Linked DNA regions of Struthio camelus. The protein of the gene in region 3 interacts with the protein of the main gene of each other region in a pairwise test. Links are inferred from orthologs where the notes say so. Each region holds a gene or a part of one and is shown on either strand. Other genes may lie near its edges. The genes, in order: AIRIM, TRIM42, MEOX2 and FUCA2.

What was found.
Region 1: the proteins of MEOX2 (region 3) and AIRIM interact in binary tests that used the Homo sapiens proteins (3 or more experiments, as listed by UniProt). The two-hybrid records come from large-scale screens. The link is inferred for Struthio camelus from reciprocal best matches to the Homo sapiens genes MEOX2 and AIRIM.
Region 2: the proteins of MEOX2 (region 3) and TRIM42 interact in binary tests that used the Homo sapiens proteins (3 or more experiments, as listed by UniProt). The two-hybrid records come from large-scale screens. The link is inferred for Struthio camelus from reciprocal best matches to the Homo sapiens genes MEOX2 and TRIM42.
Region 4: the proteins of MEOX2 (region 3) and FUCA2 interact in binary tests that used the Homo sapiens proteins (3 or more experiments, as listed by UniProt). The two-hybrid records come from large-scale screens. The link is inferred for Struthio camelus from reciprocal best matches to the Homo sapiens genes MEOX2 and FUCA2.

Annotation. Positions count from the first base shown.
Region 1 is NC_090964.1:10,953,090-10,959,411, forward strand, and holds AIRIM (AFG2-interacting ribosome maturation factor), read right to left. Parts: upstream 1,969-6,322; coding exon 1,724-1,968; intron 1,642-1,723; coding exon 1,462-1,641; intron 1,377-1,461; coding exon 1,258-1,376; intron 930-1,257; coding exon 889-929; 3' UTR 504-888; downstream 1-503. Other genes in the region: CDCA8 (borealin), read left to right, coding at 2,193-2,274, 3,493-3,621, 3,899-3,939, 4,476-4,551, 4,883-5,022, 5,657-5,736, 6,062-6,163. UniProt on the Homo sapiens protein: Part of the 55LCC heterohexameric ATPase complex which is chromatin-associated and promotes replisome proteostasis to maintain replication fork progression and genome stability.
Region 2 is NC_090950.1:10,498,894-10,505,942, reverse strand, and holds the start of TRIM42 (tripartite motif-containing protein 42), read right to left. Parts: upstream 3,014-7,049; coding exon 2,981-3,013; intron 1,195-2,980; coding exon 866-1,194; intron 1-865.
Region 3 is NC_090943.1:33,643,135-33,650,821, forward strand, and holds the start of MEOX2 (homeobox protein MOX-2), read right to left. Parts: upstream 3,018-7,687; 5' UTR 2,588-3,017; coding exon 2,077-2,587; intron 1-2,076. UniProt on the Homo sapiens protein: Mesodermal transcription factor that plays a key role in somitogenesis and somitogenesis and limb muscle differentiation. Required during limb development for normal appendicular muscle formation and for the normal regulation of myogenic genes.
Region 4 is NC_090944.1:77,011,837-77,019,522, reverse strand, and holds the start of FUCA2 (plasma alpha-L-fucosidase), read left to right. Parts: upstream 1-4,683; 5' UTR 4,684-4,689; coding exon 4,690-4,913; intron 4,914-7,048; exon of another isoform or gene 7,049-7,251; coding exon of another isoform or gene 7,252-7,310; intron 7,311-7,686. UniProt on the Homo sapiens protein: Alpha-L-fucosidase is responsible for hydrolyzing the alpha-1,6-linked fucose joined to the reducing-end N-acetylglucosamine of the carbohydrate moieties of glycoproteins.

The DNA.
Region 1 (6,322 bases), on a different chromosome or scaffold from region 3:
AGCCTTATGTCCATCTCTTTACACAAGGATGTTTGATAAATTGTGGATTAATTTGACAAGGGTGCAGAACCTAACTCGTGTTCAACTACAAAGAGTTTATGTCCTTCAGTCTTTATATGAAAGAAATGGATTGTTAAGCTCATCTAGGATCATCATCGAAACATCATACAGCTCTGAAGGCCACGTAGTAACAAAACTTCCCTTAACAATGCTACAAAGTACACTCTTACTCTTGAAAACTGCACTTGCTAGACCTCACGTGTCTAAGCTTTATCCGTGTACCTCCACGAACACATTTTCAGACCAAATTAGCTTTCCTCTTCACTGCACAGATGACTGAGGGAAGACGTGGGATTGTATGGAAGATGGGACGAAAGAAAATACGTTGCTCAGAGGCACAAGGCACAAAGAGTTTCCAAGCCCTGATTCGGCATCTTTTATTTATTTGTAAGGACAGTACTTAAAAATCTCTCTTACGTGATATCAAAGTGCAGGACACTATGTTTTATTTATGTATTTATTTATTTGCAGGACCCTTCTAAATACAATCGGTACCATTTCTTTGCAACTTAATGAGTCTCAACGTTTCTTTCGGTATGCAAAATATCCAGGGTACACAAGAGAACGGCCAGCTTCTGCAGGTGGAGATGACAACTCACTTCCTGCTGTCTTCTTTGGATACTAAGTCCATTTCCATTTGAAAATGGAACAGCCCAAGCATTTCCTAGGCCACGTATCAACTTAGCTTCCAAAAGACATGAGAAACGCTTACTCAGCTCATCCTCCTCTTCATGGCTATATCACAAGTCTTATACCAGATACTTATAGGAGATGATCAACATCAGTGTCTCCTGTCCTCCCTCAGGAGCCTGGTTAGCAGCACAGCTTTCACTGATTGTCAAGAAAAAGAGAAATCTTAAGAAGTGTATCTAAAAAAAAAAAAGAAATAATTAGTTTAGTACATTTTATTTGTACTGTACGTCCACAGAAAATTAACTTATTTCTAAAAGCTATAACAAAGAATCTTAAGCGACGTTATCGTGGCAGACCAAGTAAAAGAAAGCACCAAGCTCTCTGCTTTGCTATGCACAATGATGCCACTTCATTTACCCCATAAATCACAGGCAAGATCTCGGAGCACATTGCAAAGAGAAAGCGCACGTGCAGCGAGCTCACCCACTGCAGCGGGACGTGCAGCGAGGGCACCTGCCGGGCCCCACCGCCAGCACGGAGCCGCACCAAGACGCGGGGGACTACCTTGAACGACGTCTGGCTTGTAGCGCTCCAGGATCCTCTCCCAGGACTGCGGCAGGGCCTCCATGTCCGCCAGGCTGTCACAGCTGATGCGCAGGAGCAGCAGCTTGCTCTCCAGATACCTTCCTGCCCGATAAGGACCAACACCGAGGGGGGACGGCACCGGGGGAGGGGGGCACCGGAGGGCGCGACACGGGGGAAGGATACAGGTGCCGGTAGTAGCGCTCCACGTCCTGCAGCCCCTCCAGCACCTCGGCCAGCGAGGGGCAGCGCGGCCCGCGCCGCAGGGCGGCCGCCAAGCCCAGCTCCGCCGCCCGCTCCTCGTAGAGCCGCAGCACGGCGGCCACGGCGGCCGCCACGGCGTCCCGCACGGCGCGCAGCTCCGCCCTGCGCGGGACGCGGCGGCTCGGCTCGGCTCGGCCCGACCCGGCCCCCGCCGCCCCCCCCGCCGCCGCCGCCGCCGCCTCACCGCCGCCCGCCGAGCTGCTCCAGCGCCGCCTCGGCCGCGCCGCGCTGCTTCCGCCACAGCCGCGCCCGCAGCCCGCCGAAGGCGCCCAGCGGCGAGCCGCGCCAGGCCAGCCGCCGCGCCGCGCCCGCCTGCGCCGCCAGCCCGCCCAGCGAGCCCAGCAGCGGCGCCCAGGCGGCCAGCGCCGCCCGCCAGGCCGCCTCCTGCCGCGCCACGGCCGCCGCGCAGGCCCGCAGCGCCGCCGCCATCGCCATCGTCACCGCCGCCGCCGCCATGCCGCCCGCCGCCTCAGCCCTGCGTCAGCGCCGCGTCAGCGCGCCGCCGCCGTGCTGCGTCAGCGCGCCGCCCGCGCCGCGCCCCGATTGGCCGCGCCCGCGGCGGCGGTTGGGTTTAAACGCGCCTTGGGCGGGCTCCGCTAGGCCGCACCGACACCGGCTCCGCCACCGACCAGGCTCGACCCGGCCCGGCCGCCATGGCCCCCGCGCGGAGGAGGGCGGGCGCCACCGCGCGCAGCAGGAAGCTCGCGGCTTTCCTCAAGGACTTCGACCGCGAGGGTGGGGGGGGGCCCGCGGGTTGGGGGGGGGGGCGCGGCCGGCCCTGGGAGAAGGGGGCCTGGGGGGGCGGCGGGCCCTGAGGGGAGTCTAGGGGGAGGGGGCCTGGGGGGCGCGGCGGGCCCTGGGAGAAGGGGGTTTGGAGGGGGGCGGCCTGGGGGGGTGGTGGGCCTTGGGGGGGGTTCAGGGGGAGGGGGCCTGGAAGAAGGGCGCCTGGGGGGGCGCTGCGGAGGGTGGGGGGGGTCTCGGGGAAGGGGGCCCGGGCCGGCTCCGCGGAGGGTGGCGGTGGGGGGGGGGTCTCGGGGAAGGGGGCCCGGGCCGGCTCCGCGGAGGGTGGCGGTGGGGGGGGGGGTCTCGGGGAAGGGGGCCCGGGCCGGCTCCGCGGAGGGTGGCGGTGGGGGGGGGGTCTCGGGGAAGGGGGCCCGGGCCGGCTCCGCGGAGGGTGGCGGTGGGGGGGGGGGTCTCGGGGAAGGGGGCCCGGGCCGGCTCCGCGGAGGGTGGCGGTGGGGGGGGGGGTCTCGGGGAAGGGGGCCCGGGCCGGCTCCGCGGAGGGTGGCGGTGGGGGGGGGGGTCTCGGGGAAGGGGGCCCGGGCCGGCTCCGCGGAGGGTGGCGGTGGGGGGGGGGGTCTCGGGGAAGGGGGCCCGGGCCGGCTCCGCGGAGGGTGGCGGTGGGGGGGGGGGTCTCGGGGAAGGGGGCCCGGGCCGGCTCCGCGGAGGGTGGCGGTGGGGGGGGGGGTCTCGGGGAAGGGGGCCCGGGCCGGCTCCGCGGAGGGGGGCGGTGGGGGGGGGTCTCGGGGAAGGGGGCCCGGGCCGGCTCCGCGGAGGGTGGCGGTGGGGGGGGGGGTCTCGGGGAAGGGGGCCCGGGCCGGCTCCGCGGAGGGTGGCGGTGGGGGGGGGGGTCTCGGGGAAGGGGGCCCGGGCCGGCTCCGCGGAGGGGGGCGGTGGGGGGGGGTCTCGGGGAAGGGGGCCCGGGCCGGCTCCGCGGAGGGTGGCGGTGGGGGGGGGGGTCTCGGGGAAGGGGGCCCGGGCCGGCTCCGCGGAGGGTGGCGGTGGGGGGGGGGGTCTCGGGGAAGGGGGCCCGGGCCGGCTCCGCGGAGGGTGGCGGTGGGGGGGGGGGTCTCGGGGAAGGGGGCCCGGGCCGGCTCCGCGGAGGGCCGCAGTGGTGGTGGGGGGCGGCCCGGGGGTGGCGGCGGCGGCGTGAGGCCGTGCGCGTCCCCGCAGTTCAGAGCCGGGCCGAGCGGCTGCGGACGAACGGGGAGCGCCTGGTCAAGGAGGTGGAGGACCTGTACAACATCGAGATCCTCCGGCTGCCGCTGGCCGTGCGCGAGATGAACTGGCTCGACTACTTCGGTACGGGGGGGGGCGCCGGGTGCGGGGCTTCCCTTAGGCTAGAGGGAGGGGGAAGGAAAAACCGTGCCAGAGAAAACTGAATCCCACGGTGCCTTAAGTCTCGTGAGTGAAAAGCCTGCGAGTACTCTTGGAAGCACTCCTCTCTTCTTGCCTTAGGCTGCTCACTTGCTGCCAAGGAAACTTGTTTGTGCTGTGTTTTTCCACCATTCTGGTGAAGTATTAAAGCATTGTATAAGCTGACCTGGATGTATATTGATTTTTAATGTTTTCCTTGTAGCTAAAGGAGGAAGCAAAAAGGTCTTAGAAGAGGCAGCAACGGTAGGTGTCTAACATAAATACTATGTTTTCCTGAGGACATTTTATGCCCCTGTAGGAGAGAAGGGTTTCTTGAATTTGTACAAAGGCTACAATAACACAGACTGCATAAACACTTTCACAGCTACTGTGTTAAGACCTAAAGGTAATAAACATCTATTGTATTTATTGTAGGCTTTGTCTGACCATACTGTTCTTTGCCTAGGGTGCGCTGCTAGCTTTCCTGATCTGCTTAACTTCACTCTTAGATCCCTGAGAGAATATGCACTTTTCTGTAAAGCATCTTAAAACCAAGCTGTAGGGAAGAGGCAGAAGGATACTTGTAGCTGCCAAATGAGACTCCTTAGTACTGAATGTTATGCACTCCTGTTAAGTTGCTGTCACTTCTAGAATAACATGAAAGCTCCCAGTTTGAGCACAACAGAAGAATATGGATGTATTTCTGTTCTAGAATAATTAAGCATTTGCTCCACGACTTTGGCTCATCAGTTATGCTGTACTGATGATTCTAATGTTATCATTACTGTTTTTAATTGTAGGTAGACTTGGAAATAACAGAAATAAACAAGTTAACAGCGGAAGTTATCCAGACTCCTTTAAAAATCATCAAGAAAGGTCAGTTTGCTTTTAAGGATTGTGATGAGTTCAATAAGATGAAAGCTTACAATGGTCTGTGTACTGTAAATGATAATTCAACTCCTATTTACAGCCTTCAACATGTTTAAACACAATAAAATGATTCTTCCTTTATTCCTGTTACCAGAAGTAATTTTACTTAATTTTTTGAACAAAACTTTAAATAATAGTGTTCTATCAGCTGCTCTTATTGGGATTTGGATTTCAGGAGCAAATTGTTGCCGAAAATATTTATCATTGTTTATTTTCTGACCCAACTGCTAGCTCATGACTTATTGCTTTCAGCTTAGATAACACTTTCTCTTTTTAGCTGAAAAATCTAAACAGGGTATTGAAGCTATTGAAGAAGAAGCAGAGTCTCCTTTACACCCTCAAGCAAAGAAGACAAAACATGATAACCAATCTCTTGCAGAACTAGAAGCTGAAAATATTAATCCGAGAACTGGGAAGGTAAATAGCTACTGCTATGATGACTCTGTTCTCAAGATGTAAACTATTTCACTGAGATGATGCCTGTGATAATGGTGTTCACGGCACTTCAAAGAGGACTTGAAAATAGCTAGCCACTGTCTCCTGGAATGTCTAGTGATGGGGATCTTGGTTTTTCATTTGCTTTTGGAGTGCAGTTACTTAGCTTTGTGCAAATGCTTGATCCCTGCTTCTATTGCTTCTGTAGATCTGCAGGGTCTCACTCTTCATCCCTTTCCTCTGAGCTAATGTATTTATGGTTGTATACAGAGTGTGATACTCACTATACTAGAGACTTTTCTAACCGTAGTGAAAATTCTTTACCAGTGCCAGTTCCTGCTGCTTTTGCTGTGGGCAATAATGAATATATCGACAGTACTGGGTCAGATTAAGTTCATGTAGTCCAGTGTCCTCCTAATCTACAGCAGAGCTAGGGGGGGAACATATGAGTGATATTAAAATGTGAAAGACTACAGAAGTCTGTATGGCATTTGGTTCAGGCTTTTTGTGCCTTAAAAAGGAAGCTATTAAGTCAAACTCTTTGTGTGGAAGCATTTATTCATGTTGGGCTCAGCTGTCTGGTGATAATATAACTGATTTGAGTCATGTGTTTCAGGTGAAGGCATCCACCAAAAAAGTGCCTGTGACCAAGAGCAGAAGAGCTCCTTCAACAAGAGTGAAACGCATAAGTAAAAGGTATCAGGAGATAGCCTTTTCACTGGCTTTCAGAAAAGGAGAGTAAGTGTGTTGCTCATAAAACTCAAGTGGAATGGAGTATGTTTCTACAGCATGGCATGCCTATGCATCAGCCTACTAAATCAATCAGTGATTTGACAGTGAATGAAAGACAGGCAACTTCCTCTCCTCTGAGGATCAGCTTATCCCTAGCTTTGAGGTTCACCCTTAATCAGTAAGAACCTCTGACTTTTTTCTGTGGTGGCCCCTTCATTTGAGGCTATGATAAGACAGGGCTCGGACATATGTTAAAATGATTCTTCAGAGCAGGATTTTTTTTCTTTAGCAGATCAAGCAGAAACAACTTTATCACTCCAGCTACTGGTAGAATTGTTGATGTCTGCACTCGGGGAGGTACTTCCATTGTCACACCCAAGTTTGATTCCAGGTTTGTGTTCTATTTCTCTGTTAATCTTTAATACAGAGGAGGTCTTAACTGTTTGCTTTATGTATCTGTCATCTATTTGCAAAATGGTCCTTGATGACTCTTTGAATCTGTAACGAAAGACCTTGGGTTTAAGCGTGCCTTGATCAGTGTGCCTGACTA
Region 2 (7,049 bases), on a different chromosome or scaffold from region 3:
AATAGAATGAATGAAGATCATCCTTAGTGTTAGTAGCAGCCTTATTGTGATTGATTCTTTTATCTTAATTGCTAAGGCTTTCAAATCTAGGTAAACATTCTGGATTACTACAGAAGAGGCCTGCCTTTCAGGCCATGGTAAATCCCTGTTATCTTCAAATCTTGATTGTTCTAGCCTGCCTCTTACCCTGTGGACGTTATTCTTTTAAAAATCCAATGTTACCTTTGTACTACTCCACGAGTAGTTAACAGAGTTTCCAGAGCCTTGACAGGAACACCAGTATTCAATGTTTCCTGTAGATCTCGTTCTGGACCACAGCAGTCTGGCACTCTGCTGTATTTCTTTTTAGCATTCATATTGCTGTTGTTGTCCTTCCCTCATTCTCTCCCTACATGTTCAATAGCAACTATACTATCAGCTTCTGTTGTCCATGACAAACAGTAAACTAAAGAGAATAGAATTTTCTGTTGCTGTGAAGATTCCTTCTGCTCTTCCTGGTTTCGCTATATAGGAATAGACCATACATTTCCAGAAGTCCTGTCAATTCCTTTCTGTTTGCTGCTATTGTAGTCTCGAGTTCTTTTGCTAGCTTGCTAGCTATTCTACAGAGGTATTGGAGAATACCTTTTCAGTTGACTCCTCTTTAGCTTAGTGTTTCTGTATTTAATAATTGGCCCCTTCCCTTCTGCTTTTCAATTTCATCTTCTAAGATGATATCCTGCTGTTACTTGAAATAGCTGGGAACTGGACTCTATCAAGCCAACAGATCTTATGTTCCTAAATGCAGCGCATCCATTAAGACATAATGTCAATCAGAAAAAAGGAAAAAACCCACAAGAAATTAAAAGCTTTTGACTCCACTTACTGAACAGTCCCTAGTGCTCTTGAGTGGTGTGGTTTGTAGACAGAGTTTCTGCAGCATCTGCTTTCGTAGTACTGACACGCTGAGTTCTCCCCACCACAGCAGTAGTATTTACAGTCTGGGTCATTTGAACAAGAGCAGCAGCACCACCAGCAATTTGCATGCTCTGCACATGAGCAGTGGCAACACTGGCAGGGTGCATCTTCTGCATACGGACATGGGAAACAGCTGCAGTTCCGCTCATTGGTAAATAAGAAGCGCCAGCACAAACAGCATCCTTCGCTTCTGCTGTGGCAAGTCAGGTAACAGCAGCAGCAGTTTGAGCAGCATGGGTGGATTAAACAGGGACGTTCACTTTTGGCCATCACTCTATCAGACACTTAGAAGAAAGTTCATTAATCTTCTCAGCTTCTCCTCACACTACAGCTTTACAGCAATTTGGCTCTCAAGAAGGCTTGCGGTTTGATTGTTGGGTCAAGCTCCGTGCTGTGAAAACGTTCTAATGTCCTGTTCTAACTGGAACAGAATAAGGATGTCACAGTGACACATTCAAATAAGGACACAGGCAGAATCTCACACACATAGAGCTGACACACTGATGGCATCATCTGTACATCACAGTAACTATAATCATTCTTCCTGAATTTCTTGAAAACATCTACCTCATTCTCCATTAATCGCATAGGCAGCTTACACACCTAGATATCCTAAGGCAACCATGTTCTTAAGACAACACACTTACTTTATAGACATTTCATTGGCTAAGTTGGGTGCCATAAGTGAATGACCTGAATCAGGCCCTAATCAGCTATAGTGAGATTTTTCATCAAACCTTCATAAGACGTTAAGCATAACACATGAAAGAACTAAGATTCATGCATCTGGAAGCATTTCCCTGTAACTGTCCTTATTATAAGCCTTTGTTTGCCAGCGTTTGTGCTCTTGAACAATGTATGCCGTTCGTTCCCTCAAGGCCTAAGGAAAGGAACTAAACTTGGGTTGTAGGTTCAGTACTATTGCTCATTCACTGTGGACCTGCCTTCTTTCCTGAAGTCCAAGTGTGTTTCCTGTCCTTCCTTAAACTCACCACTCTCCTGTAAGTGCCCCACTCTCCTATAAATGCAATATTAGACATCATATTTTAGTTATTCTTTAGTTACCTCATATTAAGCACCTTCTGCCTTAATTTAGGTGACCTACTCCAAGATTTAAATAGCATTTTATATCTGTTTACAGGGATAATAATTTTGAATAAAAATTAAGTTATTGTAAAGTATGTATAAGCTTCTCAGTATGCTAGTAGCTTACTGTAATGCAGATATATAAAAAAAGAAAATCCATCCTCTAGGAGTCACCTGTGACAGACAGCTAAAACAGCTTATTCTCTTACTTGAAACTGTAAAGAATAGTGGTGTCTATATGGTACATTTTCAAGAATACTTACTTTTAATTGTGGCCTCTGTACTGTAGGTTGCTAAGAGCTTCTTTAGCAAATCAGCTTGTGTTAATGGGTTAATGTATAACTGTGAGTTACTAAGATAGGTCTTGACATAGTTTATTGTAACAGCTCCTCTGAGCCTCTTTGCTCAGTCTGTTCTGCCTAGAGAAATTTTAATTCACTGATCCAGAGCCCTATGGACCATAATGGCTGTGTCATTATGGGTAGCTATTTACATGATGGGCCATAATAGGTCCTTTGGAATGGTTATGCCTATTGTGTCAAGGGGGTTTTCATGCATAAGCACTAGATCTGTGCGCTAAAATTCTTTCCATAGTAAAACCTGTACCTTTAGTGGATGATAGTTACTCCATTTGTCTTTCCAGTTTAATCAAAGGTAATACGCTTTTTATTTTGCATGTTTAATTTTAGAAGATGAAAACACTTTTGAATTCAATTAATCGGTAGAAAAAAAGGTATCTTGTGATGCTTGTCTGCTTTTCTTTTCCAAAATGCAAGCATTCTTATATCCTTTTTTGAGAAAGGAGAGGTGGAGGAGTAAAGAAAAAAAAAAGGAAACAGATCTTAGTCCTGTGTATCACATTTTAGATCAGAGCAAACGTTAATGGCCAAGTTTTAGCAGCTGGTGCCTATGGCTCTCTTTTCCATCTCTACACAATGCAGCTGTTCAGAGTACCTTCTTCATCTATCATTCTGAGCAACACCTTTTTTTTTTTTTTTAGTGTTTTTTCTATGAGTTGTGTTTTTCCACTGGGCCTTGAACTTGTTTGTCCCCACCTCCCCATATAATTCCCGTAGCTTTAGTGGTCAAATTCTTGCGTTAGCAAAACTACTCTCACCATCGGCCTCATTCCTTTGCAGCTCCCAGTATAGGTGACCCTCTCTGAGTCTATCTATGAACGTGCAGACAGTTCTGAAATGATCCCATTTCATTAGTATGTTTATTCTCCTCTAACAGATACTGAAAGATCAAATCAGTCTGGCTGCCAGAGAAACTGAATTAGATGCAACAGCTGCAGCCAAACTGACGGACTTTTAATAGTGTTTGCAAACATGCTCCCCTCTGCCCCCACCTCTGTTGTGGTTGGGTCTGGCTGTCATTTTCATCACAGTTCTCAAGACAGCCAGGCTCAGATGTGGTTGGCTTCATCAACAAACGAGCCTGACCCTGCAAGGTGTTGAGTCTCTTAGGCCTTGTTATGATATATGGCCATTACCCTAGTGCTCAAGGAAAGCCAAGAAGAGAGAGAGAAATAAAAAAGGAAAAAGAAAAGCACAGTACGGTGAAGACACAGGTCAGTTTCCATTACTTCATATTAGTTACATATAGTCACTTGTGTTGTACTTCCGTTAGCTGTCAAATAATATAATCTAATATTTTTCACTTGGCAGCTTATCCTATTTAGTTGTGTTTTTCAAGATAAGCCTAAGATTGTTGTCTTTTTTTTCTTTCTTCTCCCTTTTGCTCTACCTCCAGATATCTCTGTGATATTTCTAACGTTAGTATTTCTAACTCAAATTCTAGAATGCACAATGATTAGTAATGTACAAAAAGTTGGAAGAAAGACCATATGCCATTTGTAGCTTACTCCTTAACTAGTGTGTATAGTAACACACTATGATATGAATCTGGGTTTCATCGGTTGTCTCCTTCTCACCTGAGAACTGGATTGTGTATAGCATCTTCTTAGACTTTTATTCACTGGAGAGGAGAACAGACGTGAATATGTGTATTGCTCCATCATTGGTGGAAAATAATAATGAAATGTCATGGACACGTTCCTCACCACTCACATTTCAGGTATCAGCGGGTTTGTTAAGGTCTTAGTTGTGTTTTGTCACTACAATGAAGGGGAAAGCTAGGTTCTCCTGTATTACCCCAACCCTATCTTTAACGTCCTGAATGTAATTTCTCTGTTAAATTATTTATTCCTCTTACGATGAGTATGGTGAGGCACCTCATGTCTGTGCTCTTAGTAAGCTTATTGTCTTGCAGTTCTTCGTCCTTTCACCAACTCAAAAAATAAGGGAGAATGAAGGAAACCTGTCTCTTGCTTGCATCCTTACTTCACGCAAGAATATAAAGTAAGCACTGTCTCAGCAACTTGGAAAATTTAACTTTGGCTGCCTTCACGCACTGCCAGAGAGGTAAAGCAAGCTCGTGAGTCAGGGAGAGGAGGAAGAGGGACTGCTACCTTACTGTCCTTCCTATAAAACTATGTAGCCCAGCAGGATTCTCTCTCTAAAGGGTATAGCAGCTCTTTATCAATAAAATGAAGTGATTGAGGTGAATTGACTGCAGCACATGGCAATGTCTGCTTTGGGGGTCTTAAAGAATGAAATATAAAAAGCCTGACGTTATACACCCTAAAACGGAGGCACTCAGAACTGAGAGTCACTTCTCAAAGCATTATTTCTGGTTAGCTGTGGCTTTGCCCGCAGCAACCAGCAACAGAATGGCAAAAAGACTGTCCCTTTTCTCGTAAGAAGACTCCCAGTTTCTAGTTCATTGTTTCCAGCATCACTTTACAACAGGTATATCTGTTAGAGGGCAATTCCCTAGTGATGGGACAGCCTAGGAAATAGTGGGGTTTACAGTATTAGCTTTTTTCTTGCTTTGTAGAGCTTCATTGCCTCTCCATAATTCAACCCTTCATCTCTAGCCAAATGGCTACCCTTATGTTCCAAGCCACAGAAATATTTGGATGGCTTCTTTTGAAAAAGGCAGAGTTGAAATATTAATCTCTCCACAGTTGCTCTCTGCCTTTCTTCAGCAGAAAATTTGAGAGGGCTCAGCTGCTATGGAGGCAGACCGGTGACAGCAGCTAGACCAGAGATGGGGGATGATGAGACAAAAAGATTAGCAGCCAGTAAAGCAAGAGAGTACATTGTGAGCTTTAGGCTCCTTCATCGCTCTAAAGCTGTGTAAGTATACCACGCTGAGCTCCATATGCCTATGGATAAAGAAGACAGAGGAAAAATGATGATAAATTTTCCTTCTACTGCTTTTTGCTAATGGATACAAGAAAGCATTATTTGATTTATGTATGTAGGACTACTCCATGGAAAAGGTAATACTAATGTACATCTAACAGTCATTCAAACTCTCTTTGACTTCAAAAGTGTTTCTGAATACTACACACTACAAAAATTACAAATGTTAGGATTGACTGGCAATGCGAAATACAGTATCTGCGGAGTACATTATCTGAGCCAGAGGGAAAACTAACAACAACGCCAGAGAAAAGGAATTGCTAATGACTTTTTGTGTTCTTCATTAAAAAGATTAACTGTGATCATGTAGTAACACAATTAACACCCGCAACATATAGTTACCAACTATGTAGAGTAAAATAAGAGAACAACAAGCTATGTTACTCTTAAGTAAATCTGTGTTTTCAAATTCTCTGGGCCTTATAAAATTCACCAAAGGAATAAAAAGAAGTATCTGGAATAATCAGAGGGCATTTAGGAGTTATTTTTAAGACTTCATGAAAAACATTGGAAAAGAAATTTAGAAGAAAATTAAGAATTTTAATTTTGGTATGTATGTAACATGCTGCTCAAAACAGATGCATTTCCCACAGACCAAGAACTTTCCAGTGATGCTGCGCCAGAGAAATAGTAGCATTTTATACCCCTTTGCACAGATCTCAGAGGTATACAGTGAAACGCTACAAAATGCTCCAGAGGATGTGTTTGTCATAGATGTTAAGAAACTGTAATAACATGCCGTTACTGCGGGTCAGCATGCATGGTCTTTCCCAACTCATTTCTTAGTCCTGTTACGTGCAGGCCTCTTGGCTTTATGTGTTAACAGTCACAACGTGAGGCCTGTCATTCGGTGGAACAAATGAAAGTTCAGGCATTTCACAGAATGACTGGAAATACTAGGTATGTATTATGCGTATCATTCAGTCCCTGCTCTCACAAGCAGACAGGGCATTAGTGGCAGCTGTTGCATTTATTTCTCGAACTGTGCACCACAGTGTCTGTCATGTCGGGGGTCTCCTGGGCAGGCCCTCGGGACTGGCCCGCCACGCAGGGGCAGTGTGGGGACCTCAGGCACCCCAACTGGCGCGCTCACCCGGCTGGCGGGTCCCCACCACAGCCCCCTGGCCGGGTCTCGAGAGGAGAGGTCTCGGAGCGCTTGGGGGACGGCAATTTTAGGGCTGCGCTAAATATCCCAGCACATCTCAGGAAAGGTACGGGCCTCATTGCCTCTCTGAGAGGGGCACAAGGTGGTCACAGCGCCACGAGGTCGTTCAGGCGGGCGCTTCGCCGTGCCCTGGGGCCGCCGGTCGCCGAGGCAACGGGGCGGCCGTTGGGCTCGCGAGCGGGCGGGACGGGGCGGCCGTTGGGCGCGCGCGGTGGGGGGGACGGGGCGGCCGTTGGGCGCGCGCGGCGGGGGGGACGGGGCGGCCGTTGGGCTCGCGAGCGGGCGGGACGGGGCGGCCGTTGGGCGCGCGCGGTGCTGGGGACGGGGCGGCCGTTGGGCGCGCGCGGTGGGGGGGACGGGGCGGCCGTTGGGCTCGCGAGCGGGCGGGACGGGGCGGCCGTTGGGCGCGCGCGGTGCTGGGGACGGGGCGGCCGTTGGGCGCGCGCGGTGGGGGGGACGGGGCGGCCGTTGGGCCCGCGGGCGAGCCGCCTGCTGCTGCGCGGATCGGAGTGTCTGAAATTTGGTCTCATCGTTCAGTTTTCGTCCTCTCTCCTTCTGGTAAGTTGGAG
Region 3 (7,687 bases):
ATTAGAATTTTATACAAACGCCTATTGAAGTACTTCCAAGTGTGATGATTATGTCTCATAAGTGGGGAGGGGGAGGACGGGATTCTTTAAAGTATGGTGATTTGTTTAAAAAACGGATTAATGGGAAAAGTAGGAGATAATTTTTATTCAAATTAGGAGCGATTATGGATGACAAATACAGAAACACATTGACTCAAATAGTTCTTGCTGCCATACATTAGAAGGACGTTAAATATCTAGCACCATAGTTCAGGTTTAATAAAGGGGTGGGGTTAAAAGGTCGGTCCAAAAGTCAGTTTTTTCCTGAAGAAAAACCGAAGATTCTCTGGCAACTCAGTTGTCGTCAAAAGGCACCAACTTTCAGTTTGAGAGACTCCTAATCGTGTGAACGGACATATATTTTTTTCTTAAGGGAAGGGAGGAGGAAATAGTTACCTGCCTTGATCTTCAGAAAGTCTTAGAAAGTGAAGTTCGGAGTACAGTGCAATATAAACATAATCACGACTAAAGGCTTGCGCTCTTGTCCACTAAATCCCATGGAAGACTCCAGTGGCTTCAGGATGAGGTCTGAGACATTCCCCGCTGCTTTTTGCATTTGCATTGCAAAATGGAATAAACAGAAAGCAATGCAGACATTTCCCTGACAGTGAAAGGCATCAATATCTTTTTTTTCTTTTAGCTTTAAACAGTCTGACAAAAGATAATAAAGCCTTACACAAACAGGCATCCAGTTATTTTCCAGTAGCAATGGGGACACAAATTTTAGTACTGCTCATAGACCTCACAGAATCAGAGAATTCCTTTTATTCCACAAAATGTAGTGAAGATGCAACAATAGATTTTGCTACAAGTGTTTTACAAAATATGGCTTTCAATCTTGGCGGTTTTAAAACCCATATACCAGCTACATACGATAAAATAAAGTTAAACCCATCCTGAATCACTGTAAACATTTCCTAACGTAATGGGTAATGAACAAAATGACAGTGTCCTTGAAGTACTTTTTTAAAATAGTTTCTATTGCTTACCAGCTCACCAAGCTCAAAATATTTCAAGTGAAAGAGGTCACAGTTTCAGCAGTGAACTTCATAAATATCTGCAAAATCCTTTCACTTTCCCTTGCTTGGTAGCAACCAAGAAACTCGCTATGCCCGCTCCTGAGTTTTCAAAATGTTGAGTACTCTCTTTTTCAAGTGCCTACTGCCTGTCTCAGTGTAGCTTAGATGAGCCTTCAGTTTGTATCTGCTGCAACGGAAGTGCCATCCATCGCACTGCCGTCGCGGAATGCCTTTTGTCAGTATGGGGCTGTGACTGGCTTGGCCATGCTAAAAGCAGAGATTTTGGCAGTTCGTTTGCACGCTTAGCGATGCCTAATCATCATCCCGCCACGACCGCGGGTCTGCACGTTTTTATGCTCGTCTTGGAGTGAAAAATCGTGGTGCGTTTCAAAGTCCGACAGCTCCTTCCTTCCCTCCGCCCCCGGCACAAGGACGCTCAGCTGAACTCGCGGTCTGAGACGCCAGTTCCCCCGTTTGGCGGAGGGACTCCCGGCTCGGCCCCGGCCGGGCCGCGGATCTGCCGCGGCCGCGCTGCGGGGCGAAGCGTCCCGGCGCTGTGCAGCCGCCGCGGAGCTGCGGTGAGCGCCGCGGGGGAAGGGGCGGGAGGGGAAGCGAGCGCGCTCTATTCTGAATTTTGCAGCAGAGGTGGTGTATCGGGCGCTGGGCGGGGGGGGGGGGGAGAAGGGGAACACGGCACCAGATGCTAAAATTTCCTCGTCAAAACTACAAACGTTTCTCTCCTGGACTATACGAAACTCGCCCACCCCCTTCCCCCCGATTTCATGCTCTATCACGTGCTGGCTTTCTCCTTTTTATTTTTGCCCCGTAGCCCTAAAAAAGCTTGCTTTAATGATGGAGCTCTCGAGAGCGCGTTTGAGTGAAGACGCGACCCGGGAGCCCGGTGTCAGCGGGCGGCCAGAGCCCCGCGGCGGCGGGGGACCCGCGGCCCGGCAGCGCCGCACCCCCCGGCACCCTCCGCCCGGGGGTCCCGCCCGCACGGCAAAGCGTGAGCCGTTACCTGAGCTGTCGCTTTTCCTTTTGCCGGACCTCTTCTCTGTTTCCACCGGGGACAGAGCTTGCCTGCCATAGTCCCCTGGCGCACACGCTGCCCCCGTCGGGGTGTTAGTGCCCAGGCTGGAAGAGTTTGAACAGAGGACGGGGGGGCTGCTGCCCAGCTCCGGGGGTCCTCCTGAGTCGGGCTGAAGGCAGAGGCTGTGCCTGGCCGCGGCGGGAGGAGACGACATCTGAGGAATGTGCCAGTTCGTCTGCAAAGCCTGGTGCTGCTGTTGCTGGTGGTGGTGGTGGTGATGGTGGTGGTGGTGGTGGTGCCCCCTATGATGCTGGCTGGCAAACATGCCCTCCTCATTGGGGTATCCCGCTATTATGCAAGAGGAAGAAGAAGAAGACAGATCAGGGTAGGACATGTGGTCAGATCTTCCATGCAGGGCAAGAGAAGACTGGGAGAAAGGGTGCAAGCTCTGCGCAGTGGCATGGGGGCTGCGCAGGCAGCCAAAGAGTGTGTGATCCATGGCATGCAAGTCTCAGGTTCCAGGCAGGAGAGTTTAGGAAAGATCCAACTTCACCACCCTTTGTCAACTTTCACTGTAAACAGATCGGGGTTGGGATTTTTTTTTCCAAAACGGCAACGACAGACTTTGCAGCAGGCAGCTGAGCTCAGATAATCCAGGTCTTTAGCCCTAGTGGCCAGTCTCCGCTGCATAAACACTCGGACCTAGATGAGCCTTTCTCAGAGCTGCTCAGATGTCAAGAAGTGGGAGAGGTTGAAGCCAATAGAAGGTGGTCCCAGAGAACTGCTTGAAGGGGGAAACAGCTCTCAGAGGTTATAAATACAGTAGTGTGTAATGTGAGCTGGGGGCTGGCTTAGGAGCACAGCACTGACCACATGCAAACTCCCTCCAAAACGCCAGCGCCGTCCCCGCGCCGAGCCGCTCCGTCAGCGGGCGGCAGCGCTGCGCGCCCGCGCCCCGGGCGCCCGCGGCAGCCGCGGGGGGTGGGGGAAGGGGGGCCGGCCCGGCTCCGCGGGGGCGCAGCCCGCCCCTGCCTGCCCCCGGGCGGGCCGGGGGGGAGCGCGCCCCGGCGCCGCGGGGCTCGGCGGGGCGGCCCCGGGGGGCGGCGGTGCCCCCGCAGCCGTGCGGCCCCGCGCGGGGCCATCACCGCCCCGTCGGGGCCTCTCCGAGTGCCACCGCCCCCTGGAAAGCCAGCGGAGGAGCGCAATAAACACGTGAAGCACAGTCCGCGGGGGTTATTCTGAGGGGGCAGCGGGAGCCCGGGTCGGGGGGGGGGGCCGGGGCTAGCGCCGGCACCTTTTCTCGGGGGCCGAAAGGGGCCGGCGAGGCCCCTCACCTGCGCTCCCAGGTGGGCGGGCGGGCGCCGCGGCGGCCGCGGTCCTCCGAGCGCGGGGGAGCGCGGGTCCGGCCGCGGCGCTTCCCGCCCCTCGCTCTGCCCCCGTGTCGCATCTGCAGCGCCCGAGGTGGCCTGCCGCCCTCCGCGGGGTGCCCGCACCTACCTCCGCACTTGGCCTTGGGCGCACAGGACCTGCCGGGGCCGGCAGGCAGGGTTGCAACGAAATAACCGGCGCTTAACGAGCTACGAAACATGGTCGAGGAAAGACAGTTTCCTTCTTTGCCCCCTGCCCCTTCAAAGCAAGAACTCACATTATTTTTATTCTCTATATCTTCATTTTCTTCGTTGCGGTCTTTAGTGACTCAAGAGGGACCGGCTAGAGAGTCGGTGCTTGGCTTTTTTCCTTTTAACATGCTTGTAGTGGAATTAACAGTAGCCACGAAGAAGGCAGTTAACTGGTCTAAATGACGATAACGTATTTATTGATCATTGCCCAAGAGGTGCCCACTGCGAAAGTATTTTGTTGCTTAGCCCTTCCTCCTCGGTCTACCTTCCTCCTCCTCCTCCTCCCAAATCAAAATTAAAAAAAAAAAAAACACGCACACATACAAAACCATTACGTTCCTGCCATTCAAGTCTAAATTCTTGGGCCCATGTGCGAAAGATAAAATGAATTTCAATTGCTATTGGAAAAAATCAGGAATTGTATGAGATTTGCAAGAGCTAGTTTCTTAAACGGAAATTGAGTCCTATTTTGTGGGAAATTAGTTTTGCAGACTTTCTGAAAAAAAACTAAAACTTTTGTTCAGCAGCTGCTCCACTTTTCCCTGCAGTTTCAGACTGAGCTGGAACCTGTAGCAGTCTTTCGACGGTAAGATTTTCCCCCCTTTTCTGAGATCTAATGCTTTTGAAAAATTGTCTTTAGATTTAAGTGTAACAATGCGGTCTTTAAAAAGAGCGTGGCGTCCAAAGCAGAAGTTGCTGCCTCTGTGCACTGTTCAAAACTTGATATTTCTTCAGAATAAAGGAAATATACAGTTACAACACTGATGAAATATTTTGTGCTTTTCATTGTGTTTATCGTTTCAATATGTGCTCTAATATTAAAAGAAGGGAGCGCAAAGCGAACGCAATGGCTGAACTACTCTTGGTTTTGTTAACTCGCAGGGCTGTGAGAACAGTGATGCCGTTGTCCCTAAGAAGTAGCGGGGTGTCACGCAGCAAGAGCTGGGCGATCCTCGCCGAGCGCGGTGCCTCGCGCTTCGAGCTGCAGGCGAGCCGCAGCCAGCTCGCCCGGGGCCGTGTCCCCGTCGGGGCGGCCCGAGGCGCCGCCGGCTCCGCGGCGGGCGGGCGGCGCAGGCGGCCCCAGGTGGGAGCCCCGGCAGCGGCGGCCGGCGGCTCCCCCCCATCCCCCGGCGGCCTCCGCGCTGCGCGGCCCTCCGCGGGGGCAGGCGGGCGCGGCGCGCCCCGTCAACCTGCTGCCGCCGGCACGCCGCCGTCGGGGGGGACGGCGCCGCGCCGGGCCGCGCCGGGGGGGCAGGAGTGCCAGCACCCCTCCTGCCACCGCCGCCGTCGCGGCAGCCCTGACCCCGACACAGCTGCGACGGGGCTGGGGAAGTGCCAGAGCCGCGCCGGTGTAAGAATGCCCCCCCCCCCCTTTTTTTTCCTTTAAATTCTAGGGGATGGCCGCACAGGATTTCTCGAGGATAAAAAGCGAAATAAGTGAAGTACAATGAAGACAGCGAGAGGGTACGAGGGGGAGGGAGAAAGATTAGGTTTCCCGGAGAAATAAGAGACGGAGCCAAATAGCACTTTTTAGGCAGAGGTAGGAAGGGCTCCGAAAGGTGAAGAAGAAGAAAAAAGCCCAACAACAAAGTAATAATGACAGAGCTAAGCATTCGCCATTAGCTTCATAATCAAATCCGAATATTGGGGACTGTATCTCCTTTGGATCTTAATTCCCCTAATAAGTACACAAGTCCTACATCAAGTGTTCTTATTTCTTCTTCAATGAGAGTTTTTAAGCACACAAGAGCTGGAAGTACAAATTTCTGTAGAGCCTTATGTTTTCATTTTAAATAATATAAGCAGAATGCAAATATAGGCAATTAATGTTGACATGAATAAACAACATCAAACGTTTACTGAAATATCCTCAGAAGTTTCTCTATGGAGTTATCAAATAACTATATACTATGCCATCCTTTGTAAAAAACGTGCAACTTTTCTGACAAAGAAAATTCCACTGCAAAGCTTTTCACTGAAATATTTACTGAAGAAAGTGTAAACAGTTATTACCTCTCAATATTATTGATTGGATTCTCATTCATGTTGTATCTTTTTAGAATGTGTGTTTGACCTACATGTGGTACAAAAGCATAACTTAAATCAATGCCAACAAGTTTGCCCAAAGCTTACAACATCAAATGAAAAAATAGAATGTTTTAAACATACGAAAACAGTAAACTGTTTAACTCTTAAAAACATCCGTAGCCAAAATAGTTTGGGACATCATTTATATTTTCATATACAGGCTCATATTTGCATTTGCTTTATTTTTTGGGTTTTGTTTTGTTTTAATTTACCATTTATGGTAAAAGGGATCACATAAAAATTGACCTGAATGAATCAGCGTAGAGTTCCTCAGCTTCAGGACTTCCGTAGTCTCGCTCAATCTTTTACGCTGGAGGCTAAATGCACCATCTTCCTGAGTATTTATCAGAGTATAAGCAAGATTCTTGTACACTTCTTTCTAGTGCGCAGCTTTCTAATATATGCATACTACGAGAACATCAGACAAATAGTCATACTTGCGGACCAGTATTTCAGTGGTATAAACTGTCATAGCTTTGTAGAAGTCAGCGTAAAGATGACATTTTTCGCCATTTGAGAATATGCTCCTTACTGTCAAAGAGAAAGCTTATAAATATGAATTCAGTTTATTTTAGCCAAAGATTTTATTGTACTCAAGAGCCTACCAAAGCAAGAGGACGAGATTTTATTGTACTGTAATTATGATCAGTTCATATTTTTCCATGGCAATTTGGTGAAGGCAGGCATCATTATTTAACCTTAGAGTCAATCCAGATTCACAACAGATGTATGTTTATTTTCAGTCTTTTCTTTTTCCCCTAAATTTTCCCGTTTAACTCCCGTAGAAGCAATATAATTCATTTCTCTTGATACCTAGGCTGTAACGAAAACCTATAGATACAAGCAGTAATAAAGCCACAGTTATGCATCGTTTCAGAGATGCTTGGATGCCTTAACTGAAAAGCCTTATGCAGAAAATGAATAATGTGCTGACGGGCTTGTCAAAAATACTGAATTCCTCCATAGTTAAAAAGGATGATGATCGCATTTCCCATTCATAAACCTACTATGCCAGTATCTTCACTATACTTCACCATAAAAGCAGTTTTTGTGAGAAATTATACTACCGCCAAGCACACCACATAACCTGAACATTTCTTTTCTGTGGTGTACTTCCATTCCACTCTTTTTAGCATTTACATGTGCCATGGTTTAATACGTATCAGATACAATTTTTGGTTTAAAGGCTACAACATATCTATAGAAGCTTTAAGCCTGAATCCATATTTTCAGTTACTTCTCCTGTATACATATGGATTCTGTTCTAATTTTCATGATCTCCAAGTATTACAAATTTTAAAGCTATGCCAGCAATTTAGTGTATTACATAAAAGCTGTGCTGAACTATGAGGCCCTCACGGAAAATGATTTACAAGTTTGCATTACATCATTAAAAGTTATTTGAATTGCCAGCCCACTCTAACCAGTAAAATATCTTATGCTTCCTATTTAATTTAAATAAACAGATGAAATATTAAAACAGTTAATGTACTTGAGGCTTCACACCTGAGCTATGATGTTTCAGGAATGCTTTTAGAGATTGAACGATGGGAAACTTGCATTCCACATTAGATACTCAGAAGCCTTAAAACAAGTTCTCCTCCAAACCTGGATGTGTGTTTGTTTTAAATAGATAATTTATTTGCAAACAGAACTGTCTTGCACAATACCATTTATTTCCCAGTCTGCACGATATTGCAATTTACCAATTGTTTCACTTTCTAGTACTATCTCCACTTAAGTACTCTGAGCTGAGAAATGGCTATTATAACCCTTCTATAATAGTTTAGTAATATGTATCTTTCATTTGTATTTAGAAATGTACTCAAAGTGCACATGCAAGCAAGGCAATGATGCCTGAAAAATATGTTTTCCATTTTGTTTTTTCCCGA
Region 4 (7,686 bases), on a different chromosome or scaffold from region 3:
CCTGCAGGGAGCCTACGATGTCTCAAAGGGCCAGCTTCCACCTCCAAAACACCCCAAGTGCAATTGCAGTGGTTAACTCCTAGTGGAAGAAGGGATACTGATTCACAAATGTTTGCCTCCCCTGTTAACGAAACCATCCTTAGGAAGGACTAGAAGGTAATACAGGTACAAAAGCAAAATTCTAACGCGCCATTCAGGCGAAACGCGTGGAGCAGCAGCGCGAGGAGCCTCGACGCCTGCTCCAAAACGCACCCTGCAGCCCCCTCCGGGCTTTCCTGCCCTAGCAGTCGGAGGAGGTTAGTTCAGCTAACGTGACCCAGCCGCGTCCGGGCCGGGTCCCTTCCGACCTGAAAACACGGAGTGGAACACCAGAATTTCGATCAACACCACCAGCGTGAGTGAAAGCGCCAGCGCGGGCACCCAGTCGCTGACACCCGACGGGACGGCGCTCGCGGCGCGGTGCCGGTCCCCGCGGCCTCTGGGCGGCTGGCTGCCCGGCGCCGAGCGCCAGCGCCGCCCGCGGGCCGGGCTACCCGGCCGGGACCCGCGGCCCCGGGAGCCGCCCGGCCTGCCTTACCTGAGCCGCCCACGGCGGAGCGGAGCAGGCAGCTCCTGCGGCAGGAGGCGACGGCGGAGAGGTCGCTCTGGGAGCGGCCGCGGGGGCCGGGCGGCGGCGGGGGCCAGGCGGGCGGCGGCGCCCCCGCGGCGCTCCGCGGCCGCCCCGCCATCGCCGTCGGGGAGCCGGGCCGGGCCGGGCCGAGCCGAGCCGCCCGGCGGGGAGCCGAGGAGGGAGGGGAAGAGGCCGCGAGGGAGGGCAGAGGGAAAGTTGGCGGAGGAAGAGCCGCCCCTCGCCTCCGACCGCCCCGGCGCGGAGCCGCCCCGCCGGGGCGGTCGGGGCACTTGGGGACAGCCCGGGGCGGGGGGGGAGGAACCGCTCAACGTTGTGCTTGCGTGGGAGCCGGCAGTCGTCCCCTGCCTCCTGCTTGAGCCCCCCGGTGGCTGCCAACGTGACCCACCGGCGAGGCTTTTCAGAGCCCCGAGTTGTGCCGCCCGGGCGCAATTGCCGCAGCCGCCCGCCCCGTCCGGGCGGCACCGGGCGGGCCGGAGGGGCAGCCCGCACCTGCGGCGCCCCGGGGGGCGGAGGAGGAGGAGGAGGAGGAGGAGGAGGAGAGCGTTCGTGCCTTGCAGCTCTTCCTGACGCCGGCAGCGGCTGTGACTCGGTAATCGCTTGGCTCCGCTTAACTTTCTACTCTCAGAAGGAAAAAACTTAGCATCATTAGTGAGTGGAGCAACTGACAATATCAGTTTTGTTTTCCTCCACCTGCCATCCTCCCGCAACAAAGAGGTTGCACAATGCATTGCTGAAACTGGTAGGGACTGTGGTGAGTCAAACCTGCCCGAGAGGAATGCTTTCACGTTTAAAGGGTAGGCATTTCCCCAGTCGCTGTTACACTGTTAGACAACAAGCTTTACACAAGGGTACAAACACGTGACTCAACATTTTCTAAATACATCAAGAAGTGATTCCTTCTGCCTTTCAGAGCAGAAGCAGAACTGACACTGACTGCAGGAAAAGTAAAAAAAAAAAAAAAAAGTAAAAAGTACAAAATCAAGCCCCGTGGTTTTGGTTTTTTTTTCATTTTTCAGATGTACTTTTCTAAAAGGAATCGACATAAAAGGTAATAGGAGAAAATATAATGGTTTCATTTTCATTGCTTTTTTTTTTTTTTTACACAAATAATTCTATATTCTGCCTTGAATAAAATCCCAACTGCACTGAAGTGAATGGTGAAGACTGATAGGATTTCACTCCATATTTTTAAGGCATCCAATATCACATGATCTAACTATCAAGGATGAAAGTCCCATTCAGATGATATGGAAAGACTCTAGTGTCTAGCACTGCTCAGGTCTGAATCAAATCCTATCAAGTCTGAAATCTATCCATGTGAAATTCAGCTATGGGTCTCTATTTCCCACTTGGAAACCAAGTGCCCTCCCTGCAACGCCTGCCCCTGTGCAGCTCCCCTGGCACACTCATTATGCAGTGTTCCCGGCAGTCATACCAACTGAGACACCGTTTGCCTTTGTCCAAGCAATCGATCCAGACTGCAAGTCTCATGTGTCAGCAATTAGGTAGGTCAAAAGGTCTGCTCTGTTCATCGTTTCCCAAGGGATTGCCTTCATTTTTCCCTCTTCTTCCCTCCACTGAGAGACCATTCCTTTCCTATATGAACTGCAGAAAGCAGGACTGTGCTGTACAGGCTTCTCCTCACTTGTGGCAGCAAGGAGCTCCGTACTTACAGACCTTCCTATGGGGGCCAGATTACTCCTGCATTGTACAGACACTCTCTAGCCATGTTCAGAAAGCTTCCTGTAAAGACATTGACGTTGGTCTCATATTATACGAAAAATGTCATAATGTACTATTTTAACTATCTACCCTTTACAGCTTGCATCGTTACAGATGTGACTGTACACTGAGGACCTTTTCTCTCACTAGAGATTTCAGTGGCTAAGCATGTGTGGGCTGGTGACATTTTCTGAAGCAGGTTAAGTCTTAATCAGAAGTAAACTCATGACTCCTCTTTACTGAACTGTTTTCTTTTATTTTTTCTTTTCTTTTCTTTTTTTTTTTGAGCTTTTTTCTTGGATGATCTTTCCCTCAAAGCATTTTCAGCCACACAGCAGTTGTAACTTTGGTGTGCTGCACAGAATAAGCTTCAGAGAGTATGCTTCAAAACTCACACATTAAGGAGCTGCTCAATGCCTGAAAACCTTTGGTGTTGGCCAGTGATCAAAAAGAAAAAACTGCACAATGTTAAGAAATCCAAAGAGAAACTAGAAAAGATATCGTACCATGAGGTCAAAGGAGTTTAGGAATACCTTTTGAGAAGCAAAGTGACATCTAAAGGAGTGAACGTAAAAGAAGACATAGAGAAAGTAGGTCAATGTTGAATATAAAAGACAGAAGTATGAAGAGGCAGAGGCAAAAAAGAAGAAGAAAAGGAAAGGCTCGTATGTGTGATTTTCAAAGGGCATTTGTAAATCAGGGTAATGTGAACAGTCAGACAAAAAGGATGATACCATGGAAGCCAGAATGTTTTTTAAACAACCTGCAACTTAGTACACTCTTCAAGGTATATAACTGAAAACATTAACAAACCATGTATGTATGTTTCTTTTTAATAGCCATTTAACTGTCTTTGGACAAGTGTAATAATTGTGGCTAATGGCTCTGGAAACTGAAGTTCTACTTCTACGGATCAGGAAAAGCCTCAACAGCAAAGTGTACATCTCTCCCAGGTAGAAAGAGATTGCTTCAGTTGCCTGCCCGTCTATTTTTCAACTGTTCTGATGAGGTTGCCAATGCAATTTCCATGTGCGGTGATGATTCTGGAAAGTTACTATTTGCTCATTAAATCAAACTATTTCACAAAGGCCATTCACAGGCAACTAGGGACTGACGCAAAAGTATGCAATCCAGGTATCAGGAAAGACTGAAGGAGCAGTAGCCCAAGCTAAAAAGACGCATCTTTTAAAGTATGTGTCTGCCACCCATGACCTGCTGCACGAATATGAAGTGCTGGCTACTGAAGGAAGGGAGCTTCAGTACAGGCTTCCTCCAAAATCCTTCTAACAAGGAAACCTCTACTTGACGAGTCTGGGGGGTACCTTTTTGCCCTGGAAGGTATAACCACCTGGTGGGCTGAAAGGAGCTCTGCAGAGCATTAAAACTTGCACGCTGTCATGCTCTGTCAGGGAAGTAAAGCTCTGTGGTGGGACGTTGAGCCTGCGGCAGGCAGGAGACAGGAAGGTCAAACCAGCAGCCCGCGGAGGCCACCGCAGAACCAGGCTAATTGCCGGCAGCTTTTCAGGTCAGCGCTGACAGAGAACAATCCCAATTTGGTTTCTGAAGAACGGGCTGGTACCTAAAGTGCAGCTGAGTGCTAGCAGCTCACGACAGATGCTCCTGGGGAAGGAGAAAGTGGAAAGAGAAAGGCAGGATGTTGTCCAAGGTAGAAAGAGGTCGCTTCCTCTTCTTAAAATCCTCTTTAGCTATTTGTGATACAGCAGCTAGATAAAACAGTAGTGATTGACATGAAATCCCTGGCTTGCACGCTTTTCCATCTAAAACCCGGGGAACTATGAGGTTCTGTCACGGCAGTTGGAAAGGGATACATAGGGAAGAAATAAGACTAGGGAGAGAACAGAGAGGGGCACGGGCAGCAATTACTGACGCAGAATTAGCGCCGTTCATCCAGAGACAGCAGAGACGAGTAAAACTAGGGCTGGTGGCTTGCTCCGAGCTGCGGTTCAGTAGGCCGGGGAGGCGGTGGTGGGGTGGGGGAAGCCTGGCCCTCCCTCCCTCCCGCCGCCCTCCTGTCAGCCCCTCGCCCCACAGCCGGGGCCTGCCCGACGGGCCCGGCGGCTTCGCTGTCACCGCCCCCCCGCCCCCAGCCGCGCAGACGTGGGCGGCGAGGGCCGCCTTGCCCCGGCGATGCCCGCGGTAGCGGCCCAGGCGGGTAGGACTAAAGTCCCCCGCCCCGTCCCGCCCCGCCTAGGGGGTCACCGACATGGCGGCGGGGGCGGGGCGGCCCCGCCCGCGCCGGAGGCCAACGGCCCCGCCCGCCCGCCGCGTCGTAACGGCCGGCCGCGGCCCCGGCGCCTGTCCTGCCGCCGGCCGCCATGTCGCCCGCGGCCGCCCGCGCCGCGCCGCTGCGGCCGGCGCTGCCCGCGCTCCTGTTGGCGCTGGCGGCGGCGGCGGCGGCGGGCGGCGGGCCGCGCTACGAGCCCACCTGGCGGTCGCTGGACGCCCGGCCGCTGCCCGCCTGGTTTGACGAGGCGAAGCTGGGCGTCTTCATCCACTGGGGCGTGTTCTCGGTGCCCAGCTTCGGCAGCGAGTGGTTCTGGTGAGCGGGCCCCGGGCAGCGCGCACGGGAAGAGGGGGTCCCGCTGCCGCCGGTCAGCCGCGCCACGGCTGGGAGGCTTTTCTTGGAAAGCAGCTCCCTGCGCAGGCGGGTGTGGGGGTGGTTTTGCTCCCCGCCCCACCACCGCGGTAACGGGTCTGTTCCGTGGGTCTGACGCCCCTAAGGAGAGGGCCTGTGGAGCTGGGGCCTGTGTGCAATAGGCGTTAACCTGCCTCAGGGCCCGCAGTGAGGCCGGAAACGTTGTAACCCGGTTTGAGGAGGAAGCAGAGTTTGATATGATTGCGGTATGGGTGCGTCCGCCTGTCCGTCCGCCCCTAAACCTCGTGAATGTGTTGACTAACGTTGCAGAGAGGCTAGCGAGCGGGAAGATGTGCTCTGCTGCAGCGCTGCTGCAAGGGGTGACTGCAAGAGGCAGGCCTCGCTTGACCCCACGGGCTGAGGAGCTCTCTTTTCCACTGAAACGAACCTAAAGCTCTGATCCTGCAGATAATTTTAATTCGGAAGCTGGATAAAAACTTTGGTTTGTGTGAGTGTTCGGTGGCTCGGGCCCTCTGGCTGTAGCTGTTTGTTTTGCCATCTTCTTTGCGTGCGCTGCCCCGTGCTTTCTGCCTGACTTTGAATAAGTCACGTTACCTTTGTGATATAAAGGTAATAATGGGTGCAGAGCTTAACGCAATGTCCGCAAAACAAACCGACATCAGTATAAGCAAACCACTATTTTCTGTTGAAAAAAATCTGGCTTACTCTGTTCAGTGTTTCATTTAAGGGTTTCAGCAGTTTTTTTAGCATGGGTTTCATTTATTAACTAATGACTTTCTGGAGGGTAAAAAAGTTAGTTTTGGGTGCAGGCATTACTCAGAGCGCCATGCTCTGATACTCATACACAGATTCAGGCTCACACGTTCGTTCTTTTGTTTTTCTTCTGAAAAGACCCCAAAACGCTTTAACAGTAGTTGATGAAGTTTGTTACATCTCTGTTGTCTCCGCTCCTTTGCCATGCATAGGAGTGGAGCTGCTTCAGGGACCTCCAGATAGCACTCAGGTTGGGTAATGGAGGCCTGTTGTTAACAGCTTCAAATGGGAAGTCATAAACTCCAGCTCTCACCCAGCCCATTGTGCTACCCTCAGAGTTATGCAATCTTGGTCAATATGTTTCTGAAACTTAATGCTTCTATTCCAGTAGTTTTTAACGTTGTTAGCAAACTGTATGACAAAAGAAAAGAAGCAGGAGAAGGATTTCATCTGTTTCTTTATGCAACTGCATACTTTCAGATGAGATTTTTTTCAGGCTCTTCCATGGAGGAAGACTGTCTCAGCCGCTTTCTTCTAGTGTTGTGGTTTTTTGTTTGTTTGTTTTGTTTTGCTTTTAACCCACTGGCTGCCAGAATCTGTGCCTCTTTATGCTGAGGTGCCTTCAGGGAGGTTTTGGCAATATCCATGTGGTGACTCTAGTCTTACAGAAATGAAGTTAGAGTGCAGTTCAGGACAGAAGGCATGAACACATTTCAGACATTCAGGTTTTGCACTGCTTTATTCCTTCACTTTGAATTTGGACTCATTTATGCCTGAATCTGCCAACAGGATTTTGCTGCTTGGCTCCATTTGTAGAAAGGTAAATGCTTTCAGACGCTTTTCCCATGAATACTATCAGTCACAGTGTTCCCAACAGTAAGGCTGTTTATGCAGTAGAGATTGTTGCATTCTCTTCTTGGATCTCCTCTTTTATTACCGGAAGGGGAGGAATGGAGCGGGCTGAAAATTAATAGTGGTCTATCAGTGATTTATGATCTCTGCCCACGGTGAGGGTGAGAGACCACTCTTAACAGAGCAGAGGTCCCAACCTTGCTGTGGACTGGGGCAGTTGGAATAGTGATGTTGCTATGTTGAGTGTTGATGTGATGGAAAAACAGGATAGAAATTGCCCCTGCCTTGCAGAGGTGGGCTGCAAAAAGAGGTCATTGTCTTGCTTCTCTTCTAGTTCCTAAGTCTGGATGCGCTGCTCCTGTGGTTTGAGGGAGAGGTATACCTGCGTGTAACGGTATACCTGCGTGTAACGGTATACCTGCCTCTTTGTAACTGGGGCTGGGGCCGCCTTCTTGCGGAGGCAGGTTGTTGCTGGAGGATGTGCCTTCCAGTAGGGTTGCTTTGATTCACAGCCTCACGTGTGCTATGGCTACAGGACTTTTGCAGTCAGGCCTCTCTCCTGCTTCGGGACCATGAGCATCAGCTCGCACATCAGGTTAATCGGCTGCATTTGGTGTGGAGGACTCTGGACCAGGAGAGAGGCAAAGCTGCTGGCCTGCGTGTTTGTGGGTTGCAGATGTTGCAGTGTGGGGAGCAGAGCAGGAGCATCAGACTGATGTGTGAGACTGGAGAAGGGTGAGTCATGTTAGCCAGAAAAAGTGCATTCCTAGTGACATCTGACCTGCTTACATGAACTGTGCAACTGCGCCCTCTAGTAAATTTTCAGGATTTGGATACTGAATAAGACTGCCATTTTTTCCAGTCCCAAAGTACAGCTGCTTTGCGACATAGCTCCAGATAAAATCTCAGCACCTTTCCAAAGTGGAGTACTTGGAAAAAAGTATAGCATGGGGAGAGAGGGCAGAGAAAAGGAAATCTTCGATAATTGAAACTGTTACTTTCTGAAGTGATTTTATTCCATTTCCAGTTTCATGTAACAGCATGTGCCTCAGTGTTAATGCAAATAGGAGCTGATGATTTCAACTCACTTATCTGTATTTACATAATATGT